Linked DNA regions of Rhinolophus ferrumequinum. The protein of the gene in region 3 interacts with the protein of the main gene of each other region in a biochemical or structural test. Links are inferred from orthologs where the notes say so. Each region holds a gene or a part of one and is shown on either strand. Other genes may lie near its edges. The genes, in order: SH2D1A, INPP5D and CD244.

Region 1 (10,910 bases), on a different chromosome or scaffold from region 3:
TCCCTGAACTTCCTATGGCCCAGTCGTCATTCTTTCAGAGTGAATTTGAATTTTCAGAACCGTCAAAATTCATTCAGCTTCTAGTCTGATGGCAAAACTATATAATACCAGTTTCGATGAGTCCTGACAACAAATATAATCTCTTCTCCTGAACTACCACATAGTGTTTTATTTATTTACTCCTATGATGATCTAACTTTGTATTGCAATTATTTATATATCTTTTATTTATATTAACAAATACCTACTACATGCTAACTTTATAAATATTAACTTATGTAATAGTCCTCTTAAATAATCCCATGAGGTAAATACTATTATTATCACCATCTCCCTTTTCAAAGATAAGGAACCTGAGACATACAAATGTTAAGTAACTTCCCCAAGGTAAAATAGCTAGTTAAGGGCCAGAGTTGGGATGGGCCAGAGAATCTGGCTGGAAAATCTGGGCTCTCTCATATCAAAGGGCATGAATTAACAAATTGGTCTTAAGGTGAATACAAAAGCAGCAAAATTTATTTTTCTGCCCCCACAATACTATAGTGCTGGTAATATAAGAACAAATAGATTAATTGAACCAAATAAATAGCTGCAAAACAATAACTGTTATATGTAAGAATGTAATACATGGTAAAGTATGCTAATAAATCAATGGGGAAGAAAAGTTCTATTTATAAATTATACTGGGACAATTGTTAGCTATTTCAAAACAAAAGCAAATTAGATCCTTTCTCTATGTTAAAATAAAATTCCAAATGGAATTAAATAGTTAAATGTAAACTAACCAAACCATCACTTTAAAACAAAAACTGAAGTGAAGTTTCATGACATCTCTGGAGGAGAAAGAACTTTCTAAGCTGGAAAGCAAAGAAAGAAATCAAACATCAAGAAAATGTGTGATGGATTTGATTACTAGAAATGTCGATTTTTGTGTGTGTATCAAAGAAAAGTATTGGGAAACACCAAACTGAGAAAAGATACTTGCAACAGATGAAGGATTAGTATATAAAATCTCATAATGTGTTAAGAAAAATAAAAAAAGATCCAAATGGTTAAATGGGCAAAGTACACAAAGAAATTACAACAGCTTACTGACCATATAAAAGACACTCAATCATTAATCAAAGAAATATGAAATAAAGAGTGAGACACCAAATTTGAAGGAGAATTTTTTTAAAACAAGAATACCCATTTCCAGGCCGGGTTCAGTGAGACACTCTCATGCATTATTGGTGACAGTATATATAAATTGGAAGAACCATTTAGGAAAAAAATATTTGGTGATCATGTATACATAAAGAATCCTAAACTGTGCATGTTTTCTGACCTAGAAATTGTACATCTTTAAAATTCATTATAAAGAAGCAATTACAAATACAAGGAAACTTGTATGGACTGAAATATGAATCATAATGCAATTTATAATAGCAAAAAGAATGGAATTATTCAAATGTCTAAAAATGGATGACTAGTTAAGGAAAATATAGTACATTCATTGGTTGGACTATCATGCAGCCATTAAAAATAATGTTTAAAAATCATTCGTAAGAACATTATATATGAATGGTTATTTTTTTCATGTTAAGTGGAAAACACATCAGAATACAATATTGTAAGAGCATATGTGTGTTTACAAAGCAATTTTTAAATTAATATATGGAGAAAAATCGACTTAATATTCAATAATAATTGTCTTTAGGTTATAAAACTATAGACAGTTTTCCCCTCATTTGCATTATCTACATTTTTCAAATTTTCTATAATATGAATAATCAGAAACTATTTTTAATAAACTGATTACACAAAAATCTAAATTTACTTATTGAAAATAAAAGAACAACTTCTCATTTTAAATAAAGGTGTGCAGTCCTATAAATGGAAAACTTCCTTAGCACTTGATGAGATTCAGTTTCCCAAAACTGAACAGAGAAAAAGGCCATACCTAAAGGCCATGACTGGGGGTTCAGAACTCGGGGAAGGAGCAAGCATATTTTGAAAGTGTCATTTACAGTTTGAAGGCATATGAAATGTGTTATTTCTACAATAAAATACAGAAACTGAAGCTCAACCAAACCTTGGATAATGCGAGTAAACAAAAGATAGAATGAGAAACTATTCTGAGCAAACCCTATAATCAGTGCATGTTTGTTAGCTATACCTTCTTGTTCATGTATCTATGATACCATTTACATTGTTATTCCTGCTGCACATCATAAGCATATACATTTTGGTTTAAAATGAGTACATGGTTTATTTCAAAATAAAATGTGATTTTGTTACTACAGCATAGTACTGAAATGGGGGAATGAAAGGTTTATGTTTATCAAAAGGGACCTTTGGCTCAAAAAAGTTGAGAACTTATAAAAGGCAATGTATCTGTGTGTCTTGCTTCTGCAGCATGGTCTAACAGTCACCATCTAAGACTTGGAGGCCCCAGTGTGTCCATCAAAAGATTCTCGGGGGACTCCTAATTTGCCTGCTATTTTATGCTACTTCATAAGGAAGTTTGCATGGAGAACAAAGAGTCATAAAAACTGCATTTATGCAAGATTCACTTTGGGCGAAAACTTAAATGTTTTAGAATTCCCCACCTGCCTAAATTAATTCCATATGTGATCTTGGCCTAAATGGGCAAAAGACTAAAGTTATCCTTATATGTTGCATATTTTACCAACAGCAATCTTATGCAGAAGGCAGGGCAGACAGCTACTTTACAAATATGGAAACCAAGACCCAGAGAAGTTGAGTGACTTCTCCAGAGTCCACATGCTGGCCTGATTATCAGTCCATAGCTCTTTGTAGTAAAGAACAGCATTTGCTTTGACAGTTCATTCATTAATTCAAAAATATATATTGAGTGACTATTATGTGCTTTATGATGCTTTTTATGTGCCAGGCTATGTTCCTGCTGCAGGTGACAATGTCCCTACTTTCATGGAGATTACATTTTAGCAGGAGAGCCCAGCAATAAATAAGTAAACAAACAAATCTCAGATAGTTTAAAGCTCCTTGAAGAAAAAATAGAATATAACAAGGACAAGGAGAGGGTACTTATTTTAGATGAGGTGATCAAGAAAGTCCCCTCTGAGGAAAGAAGCAAGAGCAACAGTAAGGACGAAGACCCTAAGGGGGAAGCATGCTTGGCAAGCTTGAGAAACAACAAAGATGACAGTGTGGTTGAAGCCTGAGGTGCATCTTGCTACACACTGTCCTCTGTTCTCCCTCCCTTGCCCAGGCTTTTTTTGTACCTTATTTTTTACCTCTAACTTAAGGGGCCCTCCTTTGTCAGCTTTCCTAAAGAAGCCCCTTTCATGACCCACTCACTCCTCCATCATCTTTTGATAATAACAAGGCCTAAGAATACTACTTGGCTTTCATTGACCTTCCCCAGTTTCTGCTTGGGAAAAACAATAATATAAGCAAAACATAAAGCTCTGAGCCTAAGAAATTCAACAGCTTCCATTTATTTCCTTTAAAGCCTTTATAATAAATGTATTTAGCATGTCCTGAGAGTTACCACAAGCGTGGCTTGACCATTAAAAAAATAAAGTAAACAATGAAAATCCTCTATTATCAGCCTCAGTGTAATCTTTCTTTACTGACCCAGAAGGTACTTCAAAAGCTTGCAGTACATCATTAGTTACCAAAATTACTACCAAGCATTTTCCCTTATTTTGTTTCTGTCTAGAACCTACTGTACAAGCAGCTGTTTCCATGGGTGTTTTTTTTATCATGCTGACAAAATGTAATTGAGCTAGTTACTTCCTTAGAAATGCCCCATGAGTACTAAAAGAAATTGACTGGGAAAAAAAAGGAATATAATAATAATAATAGCTTACATTTACTGAACATTTACTATCTCTCAGGTCCAGTGCCAAAGTTTTACCTGCATTATGGCATTTAATCCTCACAATCCTATGAGGTAGGTAGTAATATTATTTTATGGATAAGAAAACTGAGAGACTGAGAGGTTAATTGCTGAGGTCACAAACCTAACATTAGACTAGCACAGGATTAAGTGTCAGGTCTGTCTGACTCTGGAGCTCTGGAGCAAAGATGAAGTTGCATCTGATTAAAAATAGGACGTTAGACAAAAACATGGTTAGATAAAGGGCAAAAGTGATTCATAACAAAGGTGTTTTCCCTCCAGGTCCTTTACAACTATTGTCTGTCCTAACTTTTATTAAGAAAGGGTCCTGTCCCACACACAACTCCTCTAAAGGAAGCTAAATAAGCAGATCCAGAAAGGCAGTTTTACTCACAAACATTCTCCTCTCAACCTCCTACCTAACTGACATTGCATTCTTAATGTATTAAGTTTCTTAGTGTTCTTCCCCTCCCTGAATTTGATGGTCTTCCTTTGGGATGACACCTTCAAATACATTTAAAGAGAGGTGTAGAGAAGCCTTTTCTTTTGTCAGGAGCTGCTGGCCCCAAATCTGGCCACTCCACCATCCCCGGGCTCTACCTTGCCGGCCTCTACTAGAGGTCAAAATGGAAATCAGGAGCCTGGGTGTTTCTCGGAGCAAAGGTAAATTCTAGGCTGTGTTTGCCCACCCAAAGTGGCATTCACTGCCCTCAAAAGTTACTGGGGAGGACTTTCTGGAGAGTGAAATCCCCAGTGAGGGGACTAAGCTAAAGCATGGTCCACCATAATCCTGGGCTGGACCTAAATAAGCCTTAGGGGCCATCGGATGGGCAGTGGAAGAGGCTGCAACCAGCTCCTGTGGCCCACACATTGCCTGGCCCTGCCACTCATGCTCACTCCCAGTGCTCACCCTCTGCAGTCCCTAGACCCAGCCACCGCGACATACTCACAGCACACACAGGCAGTACACGCCTGGGACACTTTCGCTGTCCCTCAGCAAATAGCTGCCATCTAGACCGGTGGCAAGCAGGAGTTTCTCCCCTGTCTCCCGGCTGATTTTGCCATGATACACAGCCACTGCATCCATGGCCTGGTGGACTCTTGGGCGGGCTGAGGCGTGGGACAGCAGAAGGGATGCTGCTGCTGCTCCTGCTGCTGCTACTATGCACGAGTCAGCCACCTGACTCCCAGTTAGGCCAGATGTGCAAAAGAGAGAGAGGAGCACCAGAACAACAGGATGTTGTCTACCTGCCTTAAAACCTCCTTCTCACACTTCAATTAAAACCAGCTCAGCAATTTAGCAGCTTGATTATTGCCACAGTGTTCGATCCCCTACCTGCCCCACCCGCACAACAGAGGTTTCATGTGGAGAGGGGAAGAAAATGGGAAGAAGGTCCTTGCAAGATTTGGGCTGTACTACCAAAGTGTACACAGAGGAATGCTTGGTAATACTTTGATTCTAGCAGTTTTCCCAGAGGCTAGCAGGATGACAGCTTAACTAGTTCCCAAATAAGATGATGATAGAGGCAAGTTGTACATGTCCTTCATGGGGGTCAGAAAAACACTGACAGAGAATGAAAGTACCAAAATCTCTGAGACAAAAACTCAGAAGCTGTCACTACTATCACTGTGTAATCACTATTGAGCACAACCAGGAGGGCCCTGCGGCAAATACTGATTTTTTCTCCTTTCTTGTCCAAGTTCCCAAAGTGCTGGTTGACATTCAAAAATCAGTCTATGTCTGGTAACTGGTCAAGATGGGGTGGAGTAGGTAAATATTGTGCTCACATCCTGCCATGAGCACCTCAAAATTACAACTAAACTACAGAATAACCATCATTGAGAATCACCTGAAATCCAGTTGAAGAGAAGTCCTATAATTAAGGATATACAAAATACGTCACGTTGAGACTGATACAAGGAATGGAGAAATAAAATGAGCTGGTCCCAACCCACGTGTGGCAGTTAAAAATTGAGATAAATATCTCCACTGCATAGGTCCCCTGTGAGAAGTGAGGGGTCCCAGCCCCAGGTCAGGCCCCCCAACCCAGGGTTACAGTGCCTGGAAGAGAAGTCACCTTAACTTCTGGCTGTGAAAACAAGGGTAGACTGTGGCTAAGTGAGACAGAGGGCAGCTGGAGTCCCAGGTGTTCCTCTTAAAGGAAATGCATATGGATTTGCTCATTGACAGAATCACTCCCTTTGAGCTCCAGCACTATGGCAGCAGTTTGAAAGGATTCAGGGACATAGAGGGAGGAAATGAATTGTCTGGCTTCAGGGCAAGAGCTGGAGGACCAACTTTCTCCCAGAGAGAAGTGCTGGCAGAAACCATTGTTTCTTTGTTGAGTACTCCTACCTCTCAGAATGCAGACACAGGCAGCTGCTATACCTGAGTCTCCAACAACCTGGCTAACACCTACCGTTGGCCCTGCCCTGGTGTTTCCCTGAGACTCCTCCCTACCCAACTTTCAGGCTCACCCAAGCCACTTCCAGTGGCTTTTCGATATGTCATGCAAGGTGTCAGGTGGGGTCTCGAAGTCTTGCTCCCCACATAAGAACACAGGACATGGTGAGTGCTAATTGCACTCTGCCGTGCTAACTGCAATATGCGCTTGCCAGCTCGGCCACCATCCTCTTGCTAGGCCCCCGACTTTCTGCTAGTGTAGCCACAGCAGTTATATTAGTGGCCAATGGCTCACTGGTTATAGCTGACCACCAACTAGCCACAGCTGATGGCCATCCAATCACAGTTGATAGCCATTTATTACCTGAGCCAGCACCTTTCCATGTGATACTGAGAGCCTGGAAACTGCAATCCTGGCTCTGTCCCCACACCATACAAACAGCCTGTCTTGCCTCATGCTGTAAACTTTCCTCAAATCTCTCAAACATTCACAAACTGCAAATAAGGAGCATCTGGCCTCATGGTGCCTCATACCTCTTGTTAAACATCCCCAAGCCCAGCAGCACCCAGCCTTTCTTTACAGCTTAGCCTCTCCCAGGAACTTCCAAGCCAAGTACAAGTGGCAATTATCTTCAGATTACTTTGTAGCTCATGCCAAGTGGCCCCAGGTAAGGCACAGGCAGTGACTGAACTTGGCCTGCAGCACAGCCACTCCAAGAGGCCCCAGAATCAACACACCCAGTTGCCAGCTTCAGACCACACTAGAGCACCACCCAACCACCTCCATAAACAACACACTCAAAGGGAAGACTTGGCAAGTACCAGAGCTCCACTAAAGAGAATCCTGCCCTGTAGTGTCAGCCTCCATAACAGCTCCTCCACTGTAGTCATGGCCAGTTCTCACAACTAATCAGCCTGAAGTTCAATCCCTCCCATTGATATGCCAACATCACCCAAGGCTCAACTACAACAGGAGGGCACACACAACCCACACAAGGAACACACATGGAGCACTCAGCTCAGTAGACCAGGGAGACGGTACCACTGGGCCCCACATGACACCTGCTACATAAGGACATTCTACTAAGATTGGGAGACATAGTAGCCCTACCTAATACATAGAAACAAATGCAGGGAGGCAGCCAAAATGGGGAGACAAAGAAATATGTCCCAAATGAAAAACAGAACAAAGCTCCAGATAGAGAACTAAACAAAATGGAGACAAGCAACCTACCAGATGCAGAGTTCAAAATACTGGTTATAAGGATGTTCAGTGATCTCAGTGAGAACTTTAACAAAGAGATAGGAAACATAAAAATGGAGATAGAAATAATAAAAAAGAACCAGAATTCTTCAGAAATGAAGAATACAAAAACGGAAATGAAGAACACATTAGAGGGAATCAACAGTAGATTAGATGAAACAGAGGATCGAGTCAGAAATTTGGAAGATAAGGTAGCAGAAAGCAGCCCATCAGAATAGCAAAAATAATCCAGAAAATTAGGATAGTTTAAGGGATCTCTGGGACAACATCAAGCATACCAGCATTCACATCATAGGGGTACCAGAAGGAGGAGAGAAAGCAAGGAATTAAAAACTTATTTGAAGACATAATGACAGAAAACTTCTCTAACATGGTGAAGGAACTAGACATGCAAGCTCAGAAAGTATAGAGAATCCCAAGCAAGATGTACCCAAAGAAGCCCACACCAAGACACATCATAATTAAAATGCCAAAGGATAAAGACAAAGAGAGAATCTTAAAAGCAGCAAGAGAAAGGCAGTTACAAGGGAGCTCTCATAAGACTGTCAGCTGATTTCTCAGCAGAAACTTGTAGGCCAGACAGGATTGGCATTAAATATTCAAAGCGATGAAAAGCAAGGACCTACAGTCATGATTACCTAGCAAAGCTTTCATTTAGCATCAAAAGATAAAGAGCTTCCCAGACAAGAAAAAGCTAAAGGAGTCATCACCGCCAAACCAGTATTACAAATATTGTTAAAGAAACTTTATAAAGAAGGAAAAAAAAAGATTTAAAATATGAATTATAAAATGGCAATAAGAACATATCTATCAACAATTACTTTATATGTAAATGGATTAAATGCTCCAATCAAAAGACATAGGGTGGCTGAATGGAGAAGAAAACAAGACCCATACATACATATGCTATCTATAAGAGACTCGCTTCATATCTAAAGACACACACAGACTGAAAGTGAAGGGATGGAAAAAGACATTCATGAAAATGGAAATAAAAACAAAGCAAAACAAAACAAAAACAAAAAACAAAAAACAAAACTGAAGTAGCAATACTTATACCAAACAAAATAGACTTTAAAATAAAGGCTATAACAAGAGGCATAGAAGAGCGTAGTAATTCCACTTTTGGGAATTTATCCGAGGAAACAAAAACATTAGTTTAAAGGGACATGTGCTTTCCTATGTTCATTGCAGCATTATTTACAACAGCCAAAATATGGAAGCAACTTAAATGTCCATCATTAGATGAATGGATAAAGAAGAAGTGGTACATATATACAATGGAATGTTGCTCAACCATAAAAAGAATGAAATCTGGCCATCTGTAAAAAACATGGATGGGCCTAGTGGGTTTATGCTGAGTGAAATATATCAGAGAGAGAAAGACAAATATTACATTATTTCACTTATATGTGGAATCTAAAAGCCAAAATAAATGAACAAACAAAACAGAAACAAAATCATAGATAACAGAGAACATTTTGATGGTTGCCAGATAGGAGTAAGGATGGGGGAGATGGGTGAAGAGGGGAAGGGATTAAGAGTTACAGATTGGTAGTTACCAAATAGTAATTGGGATATAAAATACAGCATAGGGAATAAAGTCAATAATATGGTAATAACTATGTATGGTGTCAGATAGGTACTAGATGTATCGGGGTGTTCACTTCGTAAATTATATAAATGTCAAATCACTATTTTGTACACCTGAAACTAATATAATATTGTATGTCAATTGTAATTGAAAGATTCTTTTTTACTTTAAAGATCAGTCTATGTCCAAAGATGTTCTAATTTTATCCATTTGATGAGTCTTAAATGAAAGCATGAATTATTTAATTGGTGTTTTGTTTTTACCTGAACTTGTACGTGCTTTTTGATGTATAGGACCCTCCTTTCAGCATCTGGGGTATAAAACCTGCTTTAAATCATATTGCAAGTGTGGATAATTGTATTGTAACTTTTGTCCTCTGTTGTTAATAGAGAATATGTTTTTTCTTTAGGTGATGCTAAACTACGTATCATCAATTATTTTAAAAACCTTTCCATCTTCATTTCCTTCTCTGAAATAAAGCATTTCTTCTATTTCAAAATGTGCTGTTAGGTAATATTTCCCAAAAGTGTCCTCCTTTTTCACTAGAATAAGACTTTGTTTAATGCTTGAAGCTGAATGGTCTTCTATATTTTTCCTTTTGATTATGTAAAATTCTTTTATAATTGGAATTTAAATACCTGAAGATATGTTGTCTGTTGTATCTTTCACAATTTCAGTACCGAGTGCCTTGAGAACATGGCAAGGCTGGGAGCTCAATAGGGAGAACAATTTTTAAATTCTCACATGTCCTACCAATGGATTGGATGCACATAGCTGCCTTGTACCAATGGCAGATATTTGCTCTACCTACTGGGCTTGAGAACAACTAAGATTTCTGTGACAGCTGGTGGTAACTCTCCTATCCTTCATGATTGAAGCATGCTCAGCCTTAGGATCTATCAACCTTAGTAAATACAGTATAAATATAAGCCTTCCATAGTCATTCACAACACCAAGAATAAAAATAAATTAATTAAACAGCATTTGAGATGATATTTGGGGATGGCTCTAGGGAAGTGAGCCAAGATTGTCTCATTATCTTCCTACCTCATTTGTTTATGGCTAACTTCATCTTTCACCTTTTTGCATGCTTTGGGTCAAGGAAGAAATCGGTCTGATAAGTGAATGCATACACCAATATTAAGTGAGCTTGAGAGATTAGTCTGCCCTGAACTCTTTATATTTTGAGCGGACAAATGACTAGCTGAAAGAAATTTATTCAAAATGGTGGAATTTCAAACATGAACCGAAGGTAAGGAAGAAGATTCCCTGTTCAGTGAATATGGACAACAGCCCACCTGTTGAGGTAAACTGTGAGAATATTCAGTGTGGCACAGGTAACAGCAAAAGCCAAGCTTTCCTTGAACAACCTTGAACAAATCATCCACAAACTTAAGAACAGAGAAACCTAGATCTGACAGCAAAAACATGCCATGCATTCTTCTTTTCGTTCTGTTTTGTTAGGTGTTGCTAAAATAGCACACCTGTCAAAACAGCCAGGTACAATGGAGTTCAGCACAAGTAAAGTCGTATTTAAAAAAAAGAACAGATAAATTATAAGGTAATAGTACAACTCACACGTCCAGTACCTCATTGTCATCTCATAAGCGAGCTGACAGCTGAGTGAGCCCATTATTGCAGTGTTGATGAAAAACGCTGATATCTTTACTCTAGTGCTACACCAGTGCTAAACCTGACTTTAACAAATTTAAAACTTCACCCTGAGCTTAAATGTAGAGAAAGGGAAATTGAAAGGACTCTCTTCCTTTTCTCTTGCCAT
Region 2 (10,856 bases), on a different chromosome or scaffold from region 3:
ACACTGCCTCTGTGCCCCTCTTTCCTTCTGTGGAATTTTCTTCACAGATGGGCCCTAGGCTCCTCTGCTTCCGAGATGTCACTGCTCACTTTATAGCTTGTAAAAAATAATGGCCAGCATTCAGTACATGCTTACCATGGGTTCGCCCTGGGTCATACATGTTGCCCACATTCTCCCATTTTATCCTCTCAGTCATCCAGTGACAACAACAGAAAGACAAATGGCTCAATTTTTTAAACGGGCCAAGAATACCAATAGACATTTCTTCAAAGAAGTGGTGCAAATGGCCAATAAGCACATGAGAAGAAGCTCAACATCGTTCATCATTAGGGAAATGCAAATCAAAGTCACAATAAGATGCCAGCACACACCCACTAGGATGGTTATCATCAAAAAGACAATAACAAGTGTTGGTGAGGACATGGAAAACTCAGAACCCTCATACACTGCTGCTGCGAAGGTAAAATGGTGCCACAGCCACGGAAAACAGTACGACATGTCCTTAGAACGATAACCATAGTTACCATATGACCCAGTGGTTCCACCCAAGACAACAGACAACGTATGTCCCTACAAGAACTTGGACGTGACTTTCACAGCAGCATTATTCACAGGAGCCAAAACATAGAAACAACCCAAACGTCCATCAACTGATGAACGGACGAATCAAGTGTGGTGTATCCATACAGTCGGCTATTATTATTCAGCCATAAAAAGGGATGATTCGTGCTACAACCTGGATGAACCTTGAAAACATTCTGTTAGGTGGAAAAAGCCAGACACAAAAGGCCACATAGTGTATGATTCCACTAATATGAAACATCCAGAATAGGCAAATGGTTGGAGACAGAAAGTAGACTACTGGTTTCCAGGGGTTGGGAGGGGGGAGAATAGGGAGTGACCAGTAATGGGCCAGGGTTTTCTGGGGGGATGATGAAAATGTTCTGGAATTAGTGGTGATGGTTGGACAGCATCATGCATGTACTAAACATCACGGAATTGTACACTGTACAGGAGTGATTTTATGGGATGTAAATTATACCTCAGTAAAAAAAGTTAACCCAACAAGTAGGCGTTTCACCAATGAGGAAGCTGTGTGGGCATAAGGAAGCTAGCGTCTCGCAGATGCTAGAACTCGCATCAGACCTAGGCAAGCACAGAGGGCTTCCCCTAAGGACTGCGTCATGTGGCATGAATTAGGGAGGGAGAGTGGACCTCCTCTCACTCCATCACTGGGCCAAAGAGGAAGGCTTGGCTAGGAGGACCACATCTCATCACCATGCTTGGGTTCACGCTCCAGGAGATGGGACCATTCAGTGGAGAAGCGGTGACGTTCTATGCACAGGTGAGTTTAACCTGTCAGGTAGGCAAGCTTGTGAAACCTTGGGTGGAAAAACTGCTCTGGGGTGTTGGGCACAGACACAGAAAATCTGGAGACACTCAACGTCACCACGCTTGTTATGAGTCACTTCACACAGAGGATACCACGAACCCACTAACTCCGTCAGCTTTCGGGGCCTCCATTCCCTCCTGGTCGTGCACAAACTCTTATGGAAACCAGATTTCAGGAACCCCAGGTTCTCCAGCTCTGGCTCCTGGCTACTGTCTGTGCCAGCATTCCCGCCCACTTTCTTTTAATACCAGATATGAAGAACTGTTTTTCTTTGCATTTGCACAACAGTAGTTAATGAGCAGTGTCAACTTGACTGAAGCTTTGCACAAAGATTGGAGGGAGAGAAAAGGATTATGTCACATCCGTTCACACCTCAGGAAACCGTTTTGCACCTCCTGGATCTTTGGACCTCCCAGGCCCTCTCTGTGACTCCATCATAGGGGTCCCCTCTCCAGCCTGTTCCCAACCCCACTCAAACCCTGTGCAGCCATGTGGTCGGCTGCCTGGGGTCTTCTCCCTGGGGTTCACTGTACCCCAAGACAGGCCTCTAGGGTCCCCCTAAAGCAAGACTTCTGAGTGCCTTAGGACAGATCTGAGCTTTCCTGCCCAGTGGCAGGTGGCAGGGCTGACTCTTGAGAGGAAATGCGGGTTTGCTAGGCCTGGGGTGATTGTGTACTCAAGTCACCTGGGCAGCACTGAATTGCAGCCTTGTCTTTTGGTGCCCCCCACCCCCCTTCCTGGCTCCATTTAAATAGTCAAATCCTGTCTTCACTCCTGAGCATGTCCAAGGAAGCTACATTTAGTTCCTGGAGCTCCACACACAGCCGCCTAAACCATCAGATGGACTCCTGCTGTCCCCTCACTCACCAGAGGGGAGCAGGAAGAAGTCCTGGCCCCTGGGGCCCAGGCAGGATAAGGTGTGGGCACCCTGGGCTGTGAGGTCTTTTCCATATGGCTATTTCTAGAGCAGGGGGGAGCGTCTTTGTGGCTTCCTTCAGCAGTCCTGGCTCACTTTTAGAGCAAGGTTATTAAACGGCCCTGACCCCAGAGCCACACCACTCAGGGTCCCTGCACCTGGCTGACTTCCAGAGAGATAGCAGAGGGCTGAAGCCTGCCACTTCTGAAACGGAGGAAAGCCCAGCTGTTCTTCACCCATCAGGATTCCCAAAACCAGGCCATGAACCAAGGACGGCGTGGGGCGAGCTTTCCACTGACCGGTCCACAGGGAACAGAGAACATAAGGGTGGTGAAGTTTGTTTTTCAGGAAGTTAAATCTATTTGATTAAAAACACTGGCTTTTATTATTATTATTTTTTTGCCTCTTTGGTGTTAAAGGATGCTTTCTTTCATGAAATGAGCTGTTGGAAGGTGGCAGTTAATTGTCACTGAGTTTTTAAATCTTAATTAGCAAAATTAAGGGTAGCAGCAAAATGAGGTGGCCCAGGTTTTGGGGAAGTTTGGTGGTCCATGGTATTCCTCAGCTTACAGTGGCTCCTGAGCCCGCAGGAAGTGTGGATTCACCCACAGAGCGGAGGAAAAGGGGAGCCCTGGGCTGGGGGGGAAGGCCTGGCCAAGCGGCCCTGGTGTCAGGACCTTGAGGATGGAGACTGACAAGGAGTCCAGGCGTGAGCTTAGAGGGTGGTGAACGTCTGTAGGCAGCCTGGGCACCCTTGCTAAGGTGCAGACCACGCCCGTCTGCCACAGGTCTGAGAACTCAGTGCAGGTGAGGGGAGGGGAGGGACAGAGAGTGAATTCCAGAAACCAGGCCTGAATCCCAGTTTGCTGCCAGCCAACGGGCAGTGTGGACAAAGGACTCCAGCTCTCTGAGCTCCATCTGCTCACCTGCAAATTCAGGGGCCGTCGGATGAGGGGTTCCCAAGGCTTCTGGTCCTAGCTCTGGCTCTGACTGGCCACGATGCTCCCAGTTGGAATCAGAGGGACCCTCCATCCATATGTGTAGCCTGAGCACAGCCACAGCTCCTGGTCAAAGGGCTATCATGCCTGTTAACCAGCAGGTGCCCTGGAAGCTCTCTGCAGGAGGCTGGCATACAGCAAACACCTAATGAATCAGCCTTGGATGCAGGGCCCGCTGGGGCAGGGGAGAAATCCACCTGGGCTGAGTGGAGTCGGCTCAGTATCTCCTTACTCTTTCCAAAGCCCTGTTGGTGGGTCCCCATGGGGGCAGTGCCTGTGGGGAAATCCAGGCCTGTGTCCCTTCCCCTGAGTGTGTGTGTGGGGGCGGGCGGGGGCGGTGCAGGAAGCTGGCCTTGGGAGGTGGGCCCTCTGACGCAGTCAGAGCTCAAGCCAGCGGGCCAGCTGTGAACCTGGGTTATTTTCTAAGTATTGCCAGCTGGCCCTTGTAAACATTCTGGCTCTCTTGCTGTCACCTGGAATCTATCTTCACACTCGGCTTGACAGGGGCAGGAGTGGGGTGGCAGAAGTCTGGTTGTCTGGGGATAGCCTCTGGGAGCAGATGGCCTTGGATTTGACTGTTGTCACTCATTTAACCTGTCTGCGCCTCAGTCTCCTCATCTGCAAAGTGGGGTGATAACAGGACCCGCACTGCAGGTTGTCGTGAGGATAAAACTGCCTGTGGTGGTGACTTCCTCTGCTCTCGGCCCAGGATGCCACTTCTGGGTGAACTGAAAGTCCTTTCTTCAGTGAACCCACCCCATATTCATGGTTCCCCTATAACAGCTTCCTCCAGGGACTCGAAACCTGGCATGGGAAGTGTCCCCTTTGCCACATCTGCTCTTCCATGAGGATTTGCACACTGGGCATCTCTGACCAACACCGAACTGCTTTCTGACACACCCACCACCATGGAGCCCTGAGCTTTGCCTGCCACAAAGAGCCCCGACCCCTTCTCCTGACTCCAGACCCTGAGGACACCCTGGCACCATAGCTATGGGCAGCCGGGGTGTGTGACCAGGCCTCAGAGTGGCTCTGGAGAGCTCTAACATGGCAAAACCCAAACTCCCAGGCCTGCAAGTCCCAGGAAACCTCACCTAGGCTCACCAACAAACCCGGGAAGTGTGCAAGGCAGGTCACTCTGTCCCGTGACACGAAACCACCCGTCTCAGTGCCGGGCCCCTGGCTAGGCCCAGGCTGGCCTCCCTTCTCTGAGTGACACCTCCGTATCTCTGTGCCCGGGCAGGAGAGGCCAGGCCCCGGCGGAGGGCCTGGGCGGGGGCAACACCATACTTACAGCACACAGAGCGCGTAGGCCCGGGAGATGGACTCGCTGGCACGCACGAGGAAGCTCCCATCCTTGCCCGTCCTGGAGAGCAGCTCCTCTGCCTTGGAGCGGGTAATGTTGCCATGGTTCCAGCACGGGACCATGGCGGGCGTGGACCTCCTCGGGCCGGACCGGCGGCCACCCCCAGGACCAACACGCCACCACGGGGAGTGAGGCCCCTGCACGGCCACTTGCCGTCTGTCCCCTCTCTGTTGCCCCGGCTGCTGCCACCAGCTCACTGACTGACTTCCTGTTTCAGGCGCTCGGCGAGGGAAAGGAAACGAGCTGCAGAGAACTTCCTCATTGCAGAGACCCAGCCGGAGGAGCGCCCAGTCCTCCACCACCCATCCCCAGCCTGCGCCCCCTCCCGCTCACTCGCAGGCCCTTTTTCTTTCCTCTAATGAGTCCCAGTCCCCAGAGGGTCAAATGCCAGCTCAAGTCCTAGGGGAATTGGCAGCTCCTGTGGTGTCAGGAGGCTCATGGCTGGCTTCTGAAGAAGAGTGGCCTGGCAGGTGTGGACAGGCCAAAGCAGCGGCCATTCCAAGGCCTGGCCCGATGCCCACGTGGGATGGCCACCTCCTGGACAGATCCCTCAGCCTCTTGCCCTACCCCAGGGCTTTTCAGTTCCCTGTGCCCTCCCCCCAACATACCCGAGGCACAGAGGCTCCGGGTCCACCTTCTCAGTTGGGGCTAAGGCCTGGCCCAGGTCTGAGCAAAATGGAGGGGAGGGTTACAGCTGAGCCCTCCTCTCCATATTGGAGGTTCATGGCCATCCAGACCCCAGACAGCCCTGGCTGCTGGGAGGACCTTGGGTGACACTGCTTGATGCCTCCGAGGGCCCACACGGGAGCTCTCTGACACTTTCACACTCATTCCCTGGGCCTGGTGGGTCTGAAAGAAACTGGACGACACATCCTCCATGGCAGCATGAATAAAGGCTGGAATTTTCACCTCTGGGTCTTCACAGAACATTCGGGAAACCCACGTATCCCCACTGGCCACCTGACCAAGAATGACGTTCCTTCCTGAGTCCTGCAGCTCAGCAGCGTCGGGGGCAGCCAGGCATGGCTGCCTTTGCCCACAGCCCAAAGGGGAACTGCCTCCATGAGGCCACCAGCCAGGACCAGCAGATTCTGAGGGCTCCAAAGTGGGCACCTGCCCCTTGGGCCCCAGACTGGGTGCCTTCAGTCCTTGAATCAGGCCCACCAGGTAAAGGGGTAAGTTCTGATCTATTGCACAGGGGGTGGCCTCCCAACCCGAGGCCTCACCCCGGAGGACATGACAGCAGAATCCCTCCAGGGCCCAAGCCAGGCCTCTACCTTAAGGAAAATAGCCCCTAAAGGAGCTCACGTGAGCCAAGGAGCGCCAGCACCTCCCGCCTGCAGCAGCATGCGATGCAGGTGATGCTGAGTGAGCAAAGTGCTGTCATCCGGGTGGACTGACCCCGTCCTGATTCTGAGGCCCGGAATAAGTGTGGCCCCCCACTTCAGGCCTTCTCTGGGCTCCAGGTGAAGTTCCTTTTGGGAAACGTGAGCCCAGAGAAGTCCAGTCTTCACTCTGCCTCCCAAGCCCCCTCCCCATTCCTCCCACCGAACCCAAGGACTGAACTTTTAAACCTTCAGCAAGCCTGTATCAGGGGCCCTCTGGGCAGGCCCTCAGTGGGGGAGGGGACACAGTGGGCATAGCGCTGGCCTCCATGCTCTGGCCTTCCCCCAACCAGCCGGACCCTGTGTCTGCCGGCTCCCCAGAAGTCCCTCCCCGCACCTCAGCTTTACCTCACCTGGATGCTCCCATCATGCACTTTGCACCCTTCTCCTCGCTTCCCTGCTGACCCGCACCAACTTCCACCCTGCTCTCAGCCTCAAAGCCCCTGGGTCACTCTAGGGTCCATCAGGAGGCTCCATCCGAAATCCTGGCCCCGTTGTACCTTGACCAACTCATCCTAGAGAACCTGCAGCACGTCTAAGACTCTTAGAACCATCTTTCCCCCACACTTTCCAGCTTCCCACCCTCCCTGCCTCACGCCTCTGTTCCCATTGAGTCCCACATCTCTGCAGAGTTGGGGGTGGCCAGTGGGACTGTCCTGGCCATTTGACTCCAGTGTGATTTCCCTTTGACACACACATGACACTCATTTCCTTCATTTTTAAGGCCCATCCCATCTTCACTTCCTTCCCAACCCAACTGCCTGAGCCATCTGACATGGTCAGCTTCCTTGTCCCCCTGTCCTTGAGCCCCCCACGCTCAGAAAACCCCAACTTCTCGCTCAGGGCTGCCCTAACGGCAGGTGGGGGCCAGGTAAATATTTTTTTTTGCAGGGCCCTTATCTATAAAACAATGTACTAAGAACTGTTATGAAATCGAAGGATCCATTGAGGTAGAGTGATTTATTGAATAAGGTTTAGAATAATGGATAAAGAGGAGGTTAGTACGCATATATTCGATGTCTAATTGGTGCATATGAAGTGATGTCCAGGTCCTCTCTTCCTGTTCAGGTCCTGTTTTCTCCTGACAAGCACACTATTCCTGGCTGATTTCATATCTTGTGCAGGGAGATGAAGTCAACAGTGCTGCAATTTTTCACAATGTCGTGGCTTTTCAGCACCTGTTCATCCTTGCCTCTGCCCCCTTCCCACACTATTTATTTGTTGCTGGTGGCACCATTACTCACGCCACCCGTGAATACCGACTTCCGGTAATTCCCTCAGAGGTTGTTTCTTTGTTTCACGGATAAACACAGATGCGTGTCTTGCCCAGAGCGTGTGAGAAAATGTTAACGGTACGTGATTTTGTAGTCATGTTAAAGCTACTGTTCTGACATTCGTAGCATAAACGGAGAACAACACATCTTCTAACCAGCTTCTCGTGAATTGTTTAGACCATAATCACTGCATTGCTACCCAGTGCTCTCTTTCACTGATGACCACACCCCTGCCTTGCACACATGAGAGTGGTCCCATTCTCAAGGAATGTGCATCCGCACCTGGCCTGCTTACGGGCATCCTGGACGGCTTCATGTGAGCTGATTGGAGGAGCCCATGGGTATTGCAGAGCAATGGTCTCGCGAGCCGTTGGAGGAGACGCGGCCTGACAGCTGGACAGGCGCCTCCAGAGGGGGTAGAATGAGTGCCCAGGCACTACTGGCAGGCGTGTCGAGGGTAAATAACACCTGCCGCCATCTCTGCCATCCTTAGTGCTACTGAACAGAGGCAGCACCATGGGTGGAACGCTGCAGGTGAGGGGTGACCTGGGGGCCCACACAGCTCAAGGCCAGGGACTGGCCATGAATTATGGGTTGTCCAGAGCCCTGAACTTGTCTTGTGCTCGGTATCAGTAAGAACCATCCAAAATCAGCATCTCAGAACCATCCCAGCAGCCCAATCTTGTGCCATCACACAAAAGAAATACCACACTGGTCAGAAAGCATGATCTGCTCCTCAAGCTGCTCCCTTGAATCATACCCAGTCATACGGCTCCAAAAAGAGCCCATGGGCTTGAGTCCCGGGGCTCCTTGGGGGCATCTGGTCAACCTCGCACATAGGGCAGAGGGTTGGAGAGCAGCTGAAGGGGAAAAGTTGGGTCATGTTTCATGTGGGCCCATGTTCAGGCTGAGGCAGCCTACCCAACCACACTGCCAACCCTGGCCAGTCCCGGGCACTGGAGGAAAATTTCTAGGAAGTCAGTGCAGTGAGCACCATCAGGGTGGGCTGCCAGGCATCAGGGCACGGGCACTTGGCCATCTCTAGAAGTTCTAGGAAGAACCGACAAACCTTCAGTGTTAAAGCAATGAGCTTATGTGGCAGGATCCCGCCGCCTCACTTTCCCTCGCACTGAGTCCCAGTTCCACTTCTGCTCCTGGCCTCTTGGAGCTGGCCTCTCCGGATCCTCTCCCTGGACCCCGGCACACACAAATTTGGCTCTGATTTGGTTTAGTCGTCCCTGAGACGGCGGCCTGGAGCATCCTTAAGAGTGGGAGGGTGAGGTCTCGGTTCACAACCCGCCCACCCTGTGCCCTCCACATCTCTGGTAACTGTTTCAGAGTGCAAATCAGACCTTGAATTACACACATGTGAGACCAGGGTCCCAGTCCCAGCCCTGCCACAAATATCTGGCGTCTGAATCTCAGTCTGCGACTCTGTGAAGTTACGTAACATGCCTCGTGCAAAGTAGGTGCTCGCGACAAGGCAGGTCTCCGAGGTGGCCCTCCAGACCAGTGCCTGCAGGGCAGAGCGTCCGTGGGCTCCAGCACACAACCAGGGTCAGTGACACTCGCCATTGGCTTATCCACCCTGGTTTGAAAAAGGACAGGATTCTATAAAGCCCTCTGTATCTCCGACTAAAAATAACCTAAATGGGTCAGGTTCTGAGCCTGGTGATTCCGCCACCAGGGGGAGCCTCAAACTCTAGCCTCCACCAGGCGTTCAGGTGTGACGCTCTGCAGAGCCCCAACTTTCGTGTTCCCATAGCAACGATGCCAACAGGGATGAAGGAGATTTCCCCAGGGGTCCAAGGTCCCACAGAGTCCATAATTGCGCTGAATGACGTCCCGTGACTACCAAAGGCCTGGCAATGAGCCATTCTGCCCTTTCACTGAAGATCCTGGAAAATCAAACGGGTGAACTACAACAAGGAAAATTAGGTTTGACATTGGCAAGAATCAAGTAAGGGAGAATCACATCCACAAAAATATCTTGTGTCTTTTGCCAAGATTGTTAAGGAAAATAGTCATAATACAATGGTAAGTGAAAAGGAAAAAAGAAAGAAAAATATCAGGAAACCGATAAGAAATATTGATTTTAACTATGGAAAAAAAAGTGTATACTGGGAAATCACTGATTATGAAAAGTGCTGAGTTAGGTGGCATCTCTACAGGCATTTTTTTTTTTCCTTCCTCCTACTTTTCCAGACTCCTTTATGACCACACACTACTTCTATAATAATAAAAATTAAATAAATAACAAGCCAACTCCAATTCCAGAAGGGGTGTATAAAATCCTGTGGCACAGCGTGGCTTTATGTACATGGCTGGGAGCCTCTCCAAAGACACACACATCCCTAGGGAGTCATAAGGAAGAGAATGACTTTTCTCTGGGATCTTTTTTAAATTTTTATTGAAAGTAATACATATTAAAAATTCAGCCAGCACAATGAAAACTACATTTTCCTGCCCTCCCAGACCCCTAACCCCATTGCCCCCAGGCCAGCCTCTTGTGTATTCTTGCAAAACCTTCTATGCATATACCATATTTTTGCAAGGCCTCTTTGCTTTTTACCCTGCTGTGCACCTTGCTTATTTCACTTTAACAATATTTCTGAACATGTTGTGGTGGTTTTTTGTGCCTACCACATTTTTTTTTTAAAGCCAGCATACCATTCCATGCCATAGCATAATTAATGGTACCAGTCTCCTGTTGATGGACACTTAGATTGTTTCCAGCGTTTACTATGACAAACCATGCCACAGTGTACACACGTGGCCGTGTCTCTGGGTCCTGTGCAGTCAGAGATAAATACCCCCCGAAGAGCAACTCAGGTTCAAAGGTGGTGCACAGTTTCAGTTTTGATTAATTGTGCCATATTGTCTTCTAAAGTGGCTGCGGCAATTGCCATACCCATGGTGCAGGAGAATCGGAGCTTACTGTTTCCTTCAGCCTAGAGGAGCCATCCTGAAGAAAGCGACACGGATGAAAACCCCACTTCTGAAATAGACTTTAAAAAACAGGCCTTGGTAACTTGTGTTTCAAAAGGATTCTCGACTTTCATCACAGCAGGCATTTAAAACTGAGCTGTCCTCCTTGGATTTAAGACATGATTTGAATTTTTAACAAAATGTAAACAGTCCCTTCCCAAGAAAGCTGCTTGGGTGTGTCTCCTGGGCTGAACATGAGGCGTGAAGGGGCTGGCCCAATGGCCTTGGCGGACCTTACAGATTTGCATCTTTGTGGAACTAAGCCCATACCTGGTGCAAGACACACCAGTGGTCTCCCCAAGGTAACCACGTTGTCATAGCAACCAACCCCTTCTGGTTCTCGGCCTCTGGGGTCAGATTTGCCAAACTCCGGAGACAGCAGCTCTCTGCTTGGCTGCTGCTGACTGGTGCTGGGGCGGCCACTTCCCCGGGCCCCTGAGCTGCCTCCAACCTCTGTTCTGCTTCCGAACACTTCCCAAGCCTGAATCATGACAACCCTTCCTTGGCAGGGCCTGTGACTGCATTTCCTAAATGCA
Region 3 (10,257 bases):
AATACAGACAGCAACACAGATAACAACATGATAACATCCCATCAGATGTTGAGAGGAAAGGAGACAAACACAACAGCACCGTACGATTCCACTTAAACACGGCAAAACCAACCTATGATGTCAGAGGTCAGAGAAGTGACTGTGCTTATGGCAGCGGGGCGGGGGGAGGGAACAAAGGGGAGAAAGCCTGTGTGCGTACGGAGCTGCCCTCATCTAGCAGCCACTCAGAGATGCCCACGACAGTCACATGCACTTCTCTGTTCGTGTCACACCTCAATAATAAAGGTTTGTTTAAGACAATGGCCTGGTCACCCCAGCACTCTGGTTCCCCAGAAGCAGGCTCCTGCAGGGTGGCCCTGAGTCGAATCCCAGGCTCTCTCATGCCCAGCTGCTTCATCACTGACAGGTTGTGATGGGAAGAGATGAGCCCGACCACGCTGTCTTCTCAGAACTTGCCTGAGTCCCAGCACGAGCAGCGGCCATCAGACCTCTGGGAAGTGAGTGCAACTCGGCCACCCTCAGGGCAGGACCCCCATGCTGCCCGCGCCACCTCTGTGCCCACAGCCCCTGGGCGTTCACAGCCTCCAATGTGTCCCTTGTGGTTTCCTCAGAATGTGCAGCCAAGGCCTGACCTTTGGTCCAAGATGAACGTTAGGGTTCAGGCCCTCTCCTGTGGGCCGTGACGTGAAGGTCCCTGGTCTCCAACTCATCTGACCCCCAAATCATCCCAATCTGCCTGAGACACTTGAAAATAACTCATTCTTTCACTCAACTGACATGATCCGAGCACTGATGGGCTCAGTGTACATGAGTCACAACTGGGATTACACAGAAATCCCGCGACGACGTCGGCTCTGGAACGGGAGCCATGGACCTACCCCGAGTCCTCAGTGCCCACCCAGCACCTGGCACGAAGCTGCCCACACACACATGGGGACAGGGACAGAAAGGGAGGTGATATTGTGAGAACAGTAAGCATGTTTTACAGTACGATGTAAGAATGATAACACACGCTCCTTTATGTTAAAAATGTTGGAGGCTCCCTGAGAGCCTGGGTGTGACAATGAGGAGCCCTCAGAGAACCACACATTGAACGTCCGCGGCTTATCCCTTTCTACTCAGCTTATTAGTCAGTGAAGGGTCACTGCATAGTCTGTCTCTTGCCTTTGATCACACAATTAAGTGACATAAATATATGTCCTGCCTCCAAAGAACCGAATAACATGAGCACTCACCTGGGGACTTGTTAGACCTCCACATTTTTCTAAGCACTTTCTACAGCACATCCGCCCTAACCCTGCACATCCCTGTGCAGCAGGCACCACGCTGAGCTCATTTTCCCCTGAAAAGCTGGAAGACAGGGTTAGCTGAAGGGCTCAAGACTGGGAGGTAGCACGTGCTCACACGTCGGGAACAGCTTTTCCCCAGAGCATGTCCAGCCCATAGATAAGCTCACTTTATTCCCTGGGTTACTTAAAGTTTTCTTTCATTCTGACATATGAACTGAGGGTCTGTTTGTGCCAGAGACTGTTCGAAATGCTGAAGACACAGCAGTGAGCAAAAGAGACAGAAGCCCCAAGGGACTCACATTCTGGTGACACAGTGGAGCCTGGAGACAGAAAATAAGCAAGTCAACAGGGTGGAATGCGACCTGCAGAGGGCCTGGGACCTGCAGGACAGCTGGAGAGGGCTGGGGGGGGCAGAGGGGGCAGAGGGGGCAGGGGGGGCAAAGGGGGCAGGGGGGCGGGGGGGGGCAAAGAGGAAGGGGGGGTGGGGGGGCAAAGAGGACGGGGGGGGGGGGCAGGGGTCGGGGGGGCAGGGCGAGAAGCTGGTGTTTGCGCTGAACTCAGAGGGGTAGAGGGAGCAAGCCACGTGGAAAGGGACGATGCTGAGGGCGTAGGACCGGGGACAGTGAGCCCATAGGCCGGTGTGGCTGAAACGCAGTAAGAGCAGAAGGACGAGACCAGGAGGCCGCAGACCTCTGTAAAATGTAGGGCTTTCACTGTGGGGTGAGGAGCCCTTGGAAGATTTCTGCAAAGCTGGACAGCGACGTGAGCCTCTCAGTATCTCACATATTAAATTCTTCAATAAACCAAGTTTTTAAGAAAAAGTTTCACCCTCAGCACATCTCCTGATGGGACTGACAATGAACAGCATCACTTTTGCAGTATTCCTGCCCAAAATACAGTACCTGAATCACTTACAGAAACGTCTGGCAGACCCAGAATGAGGAGCCGTCCCCAGAGCTCCAAAACCGTCAGCGACAAAACGCGGGGAAAGCTTGGCCATCCCAGAGGCGTAAAACACAAAACAACTGAATCTAATACACGAGCCTGACTAGATTCTGGATGGGAAAAAAGTAAAGCCATAAAGCACGTTACTGCGAAAACCAACAACATTTGAACATGCACTGTGAGTTCGCTCACGTCGAGGTTCCCACCTCTGATCACTCTGCTGACGTGGTAGGAAACGCAAACGTCCTTGCTTACAGGTTGTGCGCCAAAATACGTGGGAGCAAAGGGGCTTTACTCTCAAGTGGTCCAACAAAAATCATCATACGTTATACACATACACATATATACGGAAAGAACAAGAAAGAAAGCAGATGTGATAAAAAGTTAACAACTGCGAACCTAGGTGAAGGAAATACAAAATTTTTTTGCACTATCCTTGCAATTGTTCTGCAACTCTGAAATTATTTGAAATTAAAATGTTTAAAAATTCAAACAAATAAACAGAGCGCTTTCAGTCACCTTTGACCAGGCCGGCCCCACAGACAGAGGACTTGGCAGGGAAAGAAACAAGGCCCCTCAGATCAAGTCCATGCGTCCGCTGCCCCAGGAAGCCCTCCCAGCCCCCTGCACAATAGCCAACGACAGGGCTGGAGCCTGGACTCGGGGTGCAGGGACCACCATCCTGTCACACAGGCTCATGATCTCAGCCTCAACCCTCTGGCACTCTTAGCCCCAAAGCCAGGCCCCAGATCCTGTCAGTCCTACCTCAGCTTCCTAACAGACCCTGGACAAACACCCCCTGTGCCTCAGTTCCCTCCTTTTGCACCCCAGTGGGCCCACCTCTCACACCACGCCACCCAAGATGCCCCTCCAAGAATCACTGACCTAAAATGCAGGCTCAAAGTCTCAAAGTGGGTGGAAGAGGAAAAGTGCCCTGGGCTGAGAGCCCCACCCAGCAAACAGCAGGCCTGGTATCCCGCTGGCAGTTTGTGGTTTGCTAACGTTGCCCTAATGTTAGGACAATATTAGGACAAGGGGCATCCTAATATTATCCGTTTCTCTCCCAATCTCTGCCCCCGACCTCAGCCTCACATTTCCCCAATAATTCTCAGGCTCCTGTAGCTTTGTGAAGCCACAGGAGCTAGAGGACAAACGACCTGTACAGGAAAGCCTGAGTCCTGCTCAGCTTCCCTGCCTCAGGGAGCAGCACGACTTCCTAGGGAAACCCAAGCCCGGGGCCAGTCCTCATCTCTTCTGGCAACCCCACAGAATTCGTGTTCCTTTGCTCCTTCTTACAGCCGGCAGGAAGGACATGCTCCGCACGCAGAAGGGAACCCGAAGTCAGTGGAAAGCAACCTCCTTGCCTGGGGCTGCCTGGACTGCTGACTGCCACAGCCAGCGAGCTTCTCAGTGATTTCCCAAAGTCCACTGCCAGCCTGTCCAGACCTGTTAGGGCTGCTCGAGTCACAGATCCAGTCAGAGGCTCTGGGTGCTGACCTCCCCATGGGCCGCGGCCCCACCGCCGGCCAGGCCGGGCCCCTTACCTTGACCCTGATGCCCCTTAAGGAGCAGGAGGAGCGTGAGGCTGAGAGCTTGGCCCAACATCCCACAGGACACAGGGTCAGCCTGGCTGTACGGCTCCCAGCAGACGCTGTGTGCAGCCACCAGGCACAGGGGACGAGGGGGAGAACTGCCTCGCTGCCTGTCTGGCCACAATTTCCTCAACTCGGCTGTTCTCACTCACAGCCGACAAGGCTGCAGAGACAGCCCCATGCCTGGACCCGGTCGGACAGTTCTCACAACGGAACTTGCTAGGTTGGCCTCAAGTGGGCGGGTACTGGGGGTTCAGTGACTCACAAACCAGCTTCAAAATCTTGCCTCTCACTCTACCCCCACCCAGTGGCTTTGTCCGCAGAGCAGAAACCCATGAAATTTTCCAATTCTCTTCATCCCACTGGCAGTATGGAGAAACCTACATGGGGACCAGCCATTATCCTGGACTCTCATTCCAACAGACATTGTGAAGGGAGAGGGGGAATGGTTGGGGACAGTGTGGGCTGACAAGCGGGACCTCAGCTGAGTGGGTGCAATACTAGAGGAGTAGGGGGCACTAGAAAACCCTGACAGGCCCAGGGGTTCTCTGCAAGTTGATCCCTAATTTGAAGCACATGCAAATTCAAATGTTCTGGAAGAATTTGCTTTTGCTCATTTCCCTATCTGTGCTGAATTCCCTCCCTTCCTCTTTCTGCTTTCCCCTAGGTCTCCCCTCCCTCACCACATGGGATGGAGGCGCACATCTGCCGTGCTCTCCCATCCACAGTTCAATTGGACACTCCAGAGGCCAGGCAGCCCAGGGAGGGTCAGGGGTTCATTCTAACGTCCCCCCAGGACGTACTGGTTTGGAGGCCACAGCCCAGGGTCCCAAGCCCTTTTCTTTCTTCTTCTTTCCCTTTAGTAGCAAATACTTGCAGTTCCCTTCAGGACAACCCTTCCTTTTTCCATCCTGTGATCCACTCGCACTCACCTTGTCTGGAACTGGGCTGAGAGGCCAGACTGAATCCTGGCAGCCAAGAGAGGGAGAAGAACACAGCACTGGATTTGGAGCAAAGATGAAGACTTGGCTTAGGGAAGCTTTCCACTAGCTCCTTTGCATACACACAATTATGTTCCCGAGACCTTGGTGGACACAGAATAGTGACTGGGCTCGAGAATTCAGGCTCTGGAGCCTTGTCTATCAGGGGTTAGCATTACGGTTCCACTACTCAGATTTGTGACCTTGGTAAGGCACCTAACCTTCTTGTGCCTCAATTCCTCATCTGAAAATGGGGATAACAATACGACCTTCCTCTTAGGTGTGAGGACAACATGAGTTAGTGCGTTTAAATCATTCTAAAGCATGTCCTCCAGCTCAACACTATGCAAAGCTCTGTGCAAACTCAGCCCAGGCTGCCCCCGCCAACCACTGCCCCTCCCCGCGGAACAACTCCCACATTGTCGGCTCCTCAGTGGCACCTGCACTTGTGGCTCCGTGAGGGGACACAAAAGGCTGCTTTCCACCTGAATCTCTTATCTCAAGCACTGAAGAGTGTCATGTTGATCATACCTTTATCTGTGACAGTTTCACGCAAAATAACCCCACCATTTCTCTGCTTGAACATCTTTAAGGATTTCAACCTGTGTTTCATGGGGTACTCCTCTCAAGAAAAAAAAAAAAGACATCGAATATGTCCAGAATACACCCAGAACGGGCAACTTTGGCATATTATTTTGAGCTGAAGGCAACTGAGAAGTGGTACAAGAAAAGCTCTCTCTCTCTCTGGAAGTGAGAGAGGTTGGAGGGAAGGGTCAAACGAAGGGATTAAGAAATACAACTTGGTAGTTACGAAAGAAACCGTCGCAGGGATGTCAAGAACAGCATAGAGAATACAGTCAATACTGTTGTAATACCCATGTGTGGTGTCAGGGGGGCACGAGACTAACCAGGGGGGCCACTTCGTAAGTCACATAAATGTCTAACCACGAAGCTGTACACCTGACACTAACGTAAAACAACAGAGTGTCAGCTGTAACTGAAACCTAATGAGTATTCATAATCATCACAATAATAAATCCTTCTGTCCTCCCCTATTGGCCTAAAGGCAGAACATAAATTTGTAAAGGTGTCCCCTCTTATCCACCAGCAAGGACAGAAGCTAATCACCAAAGACAACTCTCTAGACCCTTGGCACAGAGACAGCACCAGAAGAATCTACATAACAAACCTGTGTGGTCCCTGTCTTCCATTCGTTTCCACAATCTGCCACCAGAGAAACCTGAAGTCCTTTTTCTTTGTGTTGTCACTTCTCTAAAATTCTACTATTGTTAGAGTGTTATGTAAACGTAGTTCTAAACATTGCTTTCAGTTACTCATCTCACAGTGCTTCCCTGTGTAAGCATGATGCACGTTACTAAACGTGTTTGTCTCTTGTTAACCTGTCATTTGTCAGTCTAATTTATAGGCCCCACTGGAAAACCTAGAACAGGAAGGGGGGGAAAAATTTTTTTTCTTCCCCTACAACATATACATTGGCTCCAGGTATTGTGTGTGCAAACTTGGGGACGGAAATTTTTTATTCTACCCTTATAGGTTCTTTTGCTGACCTAATCATTGTCATAAGACAGATAAACGGGGGGAAAAAACAAATTTTAATTTCGTATGTACAGGAACTTATATGAGAGTACACAAAGCACCAAAGCAGGCAGCATTTATACCTTCTAGACAAGGAACCAATACATTTGTGAAGAATTGACAAGACAAACAAGTTTGGGCTTGGAGCAGCACATTACTGAAGTAACAAGGTCTGTTTATACAGCCTTCTTAGCCCTGCGTTCCGAGTCTCTCCCCACCTCCTGGTGCAGGGAGGGTAGGGCTTTTGACAGGGGAGACTGAGTTCCTGCTTTCAGGGGACAAAGGAGGGTCAGTGTGTCCTCCTTGAACTGGCTGTCTCTGTAACTAAAGTAACTTTAACCCACATAATAAACATACCAAAGGGGCACATTTGGGGCAGCCTGCCACGAACCCCCATCACAACAGAGTAAGAGGTCATGAGTCCGTTAAGAGTGCTGCCAAAAAACTGGAGAGAAGGGGTGAGAAAGGCTTGCAGCCATGGGGGCTCTCCTTGCTACTCAACCCCTACACTGCCCTTGCCAGGCCCCTTTCCAGGGAAAGGGACCTCTTCTCAATGTTTAGCCTTATTTTGCACAGGCTGAGGTCTCCCTGCGGAAAGTTTCAATGGGGTCTTAGCGGCCACCTCAACACCTTAAACCATAAACTGGGCTCAGAGGTTAGGAATAGCGCTGCCCCCTGTAAAGGACTCAGCTCACCAGAGACAAATAAATGAGGCCACTTTGTTCTCCTCTGGACCTGCATACACACCAAGAACAAAGTATTTGTGGTGCCACCGTTTAAAAATTCTGGGCCTGGGACCCTCTGTCCCTCGGCTCCCTTTTGCTTTTCATTTCACTTCGATACAAATGACAAGAGGTGATAATGCTGGTGACAGACAACATAGCAGCTGTCACTCAGCTTGACTGATGTTGATTTTGGAACCTGATACTTATTCATTCACCACGTATGGACAGCACTACGCGCCTGACCCTGGGCACGCTCGGTGAACACAGCCCCCACCCTCAAAGAAGTTGGTGATACCAACTACTTACTGAAATAATGACTGAACACCACCATTTCATTATTTCCGCATAGTTTAACAATCAACTAGAAACAGAAAGTGGATTTAAGTGCTGTTATAAAACGACTCGGAGGGGATGGGTCTCCCCACACCACACCCTCCCGCTCCTTCACTTGTCACATCCTGGTTTTCATCCTCTCCTTTCTCTTACAAGTTTCTGTATGACATGGTTTTTAATTCCCTTTACCGTCCACATCACTTTCTATGAGCATATTTCAGTTTGTCTGTACCTGTCTTCAGTGTGGAACCTAGAACAGAACTTCATTACTTCAGGATCTAGTGCCGTCGGCAACGACGGGATTTATCATTCCTGTCTACTGAGATCTTTTTTAAAATCATTCTGCAAGCTGCTGAGGTTGCCCTTCCGTCTCTAACTGCTTGCCATCGGTAAATATGACGCACATACCTTTTCATCTGAGTCACCAGCAAAAATGCATGCAGTTCATCCTTCACTCCAGAAGGTGGCACTCACAGGCCCATTTTGTCAAGAGCTCACTTGTCTCTGTCCAGTAGATCCTGCTGGGATGGCAGACTCACGTGATACGGTCACAGCTCAGAGGAAACCCGCAGTCACATCAAAACTTTAATTGTCCTCTCTCCCAAGACCCACATTCCCACCTGTACAGAGGAAGTTACCTTGCGTTGGCTCCTCCTCCTGCTTTTTCCTTTCAGGGTCACTGAGAGCAGGAATTGGGCTCCCAGCTCCAACCTCCCCCTGCTACCGCCCACACCCACCCCCACCCCCGCACCTCCCCCGTCCCAACCCCAGAGGTCCCACTCGCCTAGTACTGGTTATGTGAACTCAGGCAAGCTCCTTGTAATTTCTGTGCCTCTAATCATTGAACAAGTTACCCCAAAAGAGGAAAGAAGATCCATTTCATACTAGAATTTTATATCTACTTTTAAAAAAGGGAAAAATTGGAGGAGCTACAGAATTCTTTTCAAGTGGAGTTGCTCTTTTTCGTCATTCATCCCCTTGAAGCTGTCGCCCTGCCCCATAGAACATACTGTCCCCTCACTCAGAAATGGACCAACCTAGTTCCCTCCTCTTCCTCCCCTGGCCTTGACCTGTAGATACAGTGCAGATGAGAACACATCCTTACACGCAATCATTAATCCCTGGTCACGGGGGCTCATGTCTCAAAATCCCAATCTCCAGGAAAATGCCCTGTTCCCCATCTCCCAAGTCTCAGTTTCACATGAGAAATGTGCAGTTCAACCCTTCCCATTCAAGCACAGACCCAGGGTACGTTAAAGTGTAATCAAGGCTTGGAGAAGGCTCTCTCTAATTTCTTGATCAATAAAACTATTAGATGGATTTTGAATGGATACATCACTCTGGGAGTCCCAATTCTTTTAATGTAGAACTTCAGGATATAAACAAACTCAATGTGAAAAATAAACATTTATTACAAAAATCAGTTTTGACATCATACAATGAAAGCAGACAAGGTGTTTTCCAACCCAAAGGGGCGGCTGCAAGCTGCAGAGGTGAATACCAAGGCTGGTACCAACTGCCTCCTCCTCACAAGTGGCCTAGGGTGTGAGGAGACTTACAGGGCAGTGAGCCACCTGGGCCTCTCCTCACACCTCCCAACAGGATACAGAACTGAAACATACTTCACAATTCTCATGCTTACTGAATCATTCCATCATCTCTGCTTTTATTGTCTAATTTGATTTTACTTCCACCTGGAAAATTTTTTTTGTTCGCCTGTGACCCTGACCTGATGGTTTGATTGGTCCTGTTTTTCCTTTTGGGTCCTTGCTACAAAACTCAAACTCTGTTGGGATTTCCAGATCAGGCAGCGGAGTACAGCAAAGCGGTACTTAGTATCCTCCACAGAAATAATCAAAATGACCCTAGAAAACTCCTTATTTGTGCTCTTGCTAGTTAATCAATAGACTGGGGGACGGTGGTAGGTGGGGAAACAGTAATTTAAGGGCACAGAAGGGACTGACAGGAAGACGAGGACACGCAGGCCTGCTCCCTCCTGCGCTCGCTCACCCACAGCCGGACTCACACCCGGTCACCAAGGATCTTTTCCTCAAACACCCACCCCACCACAGAAAGTCGCAGGGACTGCTAAAGATGGAGTCTCCAAATGGTCTGAGACGCACTCCTGCCGCAGGCTCCAGCACTTTCTCCTGCAGCCCCAGGGGCTGGGTGAAGGCACCTGGTGGGCAGAGGCAGACGGCGGGCTTTCTCCCCTCTCAGGGCTCAGCCTCCTCCAGCATAGGGTGCCATCCTCCAGCAGGGGAGGCCAGGCACAGGGAGCGCTGGCACCGGGTCCAGTGTTTGGAGCTCCACCCTGAGACAGGAAGCAGGAAGGGGCGGGACAGGAAGGGGTGGGACCAGCCCAGGTTGCTGGAAAGCAGGGCTTCTGGCATTTTCTTGTTTGTACAAAGGAGACCAAGAGCCTCACTGCCCAACTCACAGCAAGAAGCTTCCACAAACAAGGTTCTTATTTCCAGCAACATCCAGCTGCACACAAACTCACATAAACACCAACCCACCACGAGCTGAGCAGCCCTCCAGCACACACCCAGGTCCGCACAGAACCAGGAGCACATGCCCTCAGCAGACACTACGACACACGTCCCCACAGCCTAGGAGACACAGCGTCAGAGGGTCCATCCAGCTGTTCGGCCAAAGGAAGGATGATGGCTCGAGCCACCAGCTCCAGCTTCCATTTCTTTAAATCAGTGGTTAAAAACTTCTGCTTCTTGTCCCCTGAAAGCTGACTATGCTCTCCACAACAAAAGCACCAGTTTTCCCCACTGACACAGTTGGT

The links.
Region 1: the proteins of CD244 (region 3) and SH2D1A interact in a biophysical measurement, tested with the Homo sapiens proteins (2 studies listed by IntAct). The link is inferred for Rhinolophus ferrumequinum from reciprocal best matches to the Homo sapiens genes CD244 and SH2D1A.
Region 2: the proteins of CD244 (region 3) and INPP5D interact in a biophysical measurement, tested with the Homo sapiens proteins (2 studies listed by IntAct). The link is inferred for Rhinolophus ferrumequinum from reciprocal best matches to the Homo sapiens genes CD244 and INPP5D.

What each region holds. Positions count from the first base shown.
Region 1 is NC_046284.1:32,675,754-32,686,663, forward strand, and holds the start of SH2D1A (SH2 domain-containing protein 1A), read right to left. Parts: upstream 5,043-10,910; 5' UTR 4,956-5,042; coding exon 4,819-4,955; intron 1-4,818.
Region 2 is NC_046291.1:5,843,935-5,854,790, forward strand, and holds the start of INPP5D (phosphatidylinositol 3,4,5-trisphosphate 5-phosphatase 1), read right to left. Parts: upstream 4,893-10,856; 5' UTR 4,736-4,892; coding exon 4,602-4,735; intron 1-4,601. UniProt on the Homo sapiens protein: Phosphatidylinositol (PtdIns) phosphatase that specifically hydrolyzes the 5-phosphate of phosphatidylinositol-3,4,5-trisphosphate (PtdIns(3,4,5)P3) to produce PtdIns(3,4)P2, thereby negatively regulating the PI3K (phosphoinositide 3-kinase) pathways.
Region 3 is NC_046305.1:2,210,066-2,220,322, forward strand, and holds the start of CD244 (natural killer cell receptor 2B4), read right to left. Parts: upstream 4,039-10,257; 5' UTR 3,840-4,038; coding exon 3,779-3,839; intron 1-3,778. UniProt on the Homo sapiens protein: Heterophilic receptor of the signaling lymphocytic activation molecule (SLAM) family; its ligand is CD48.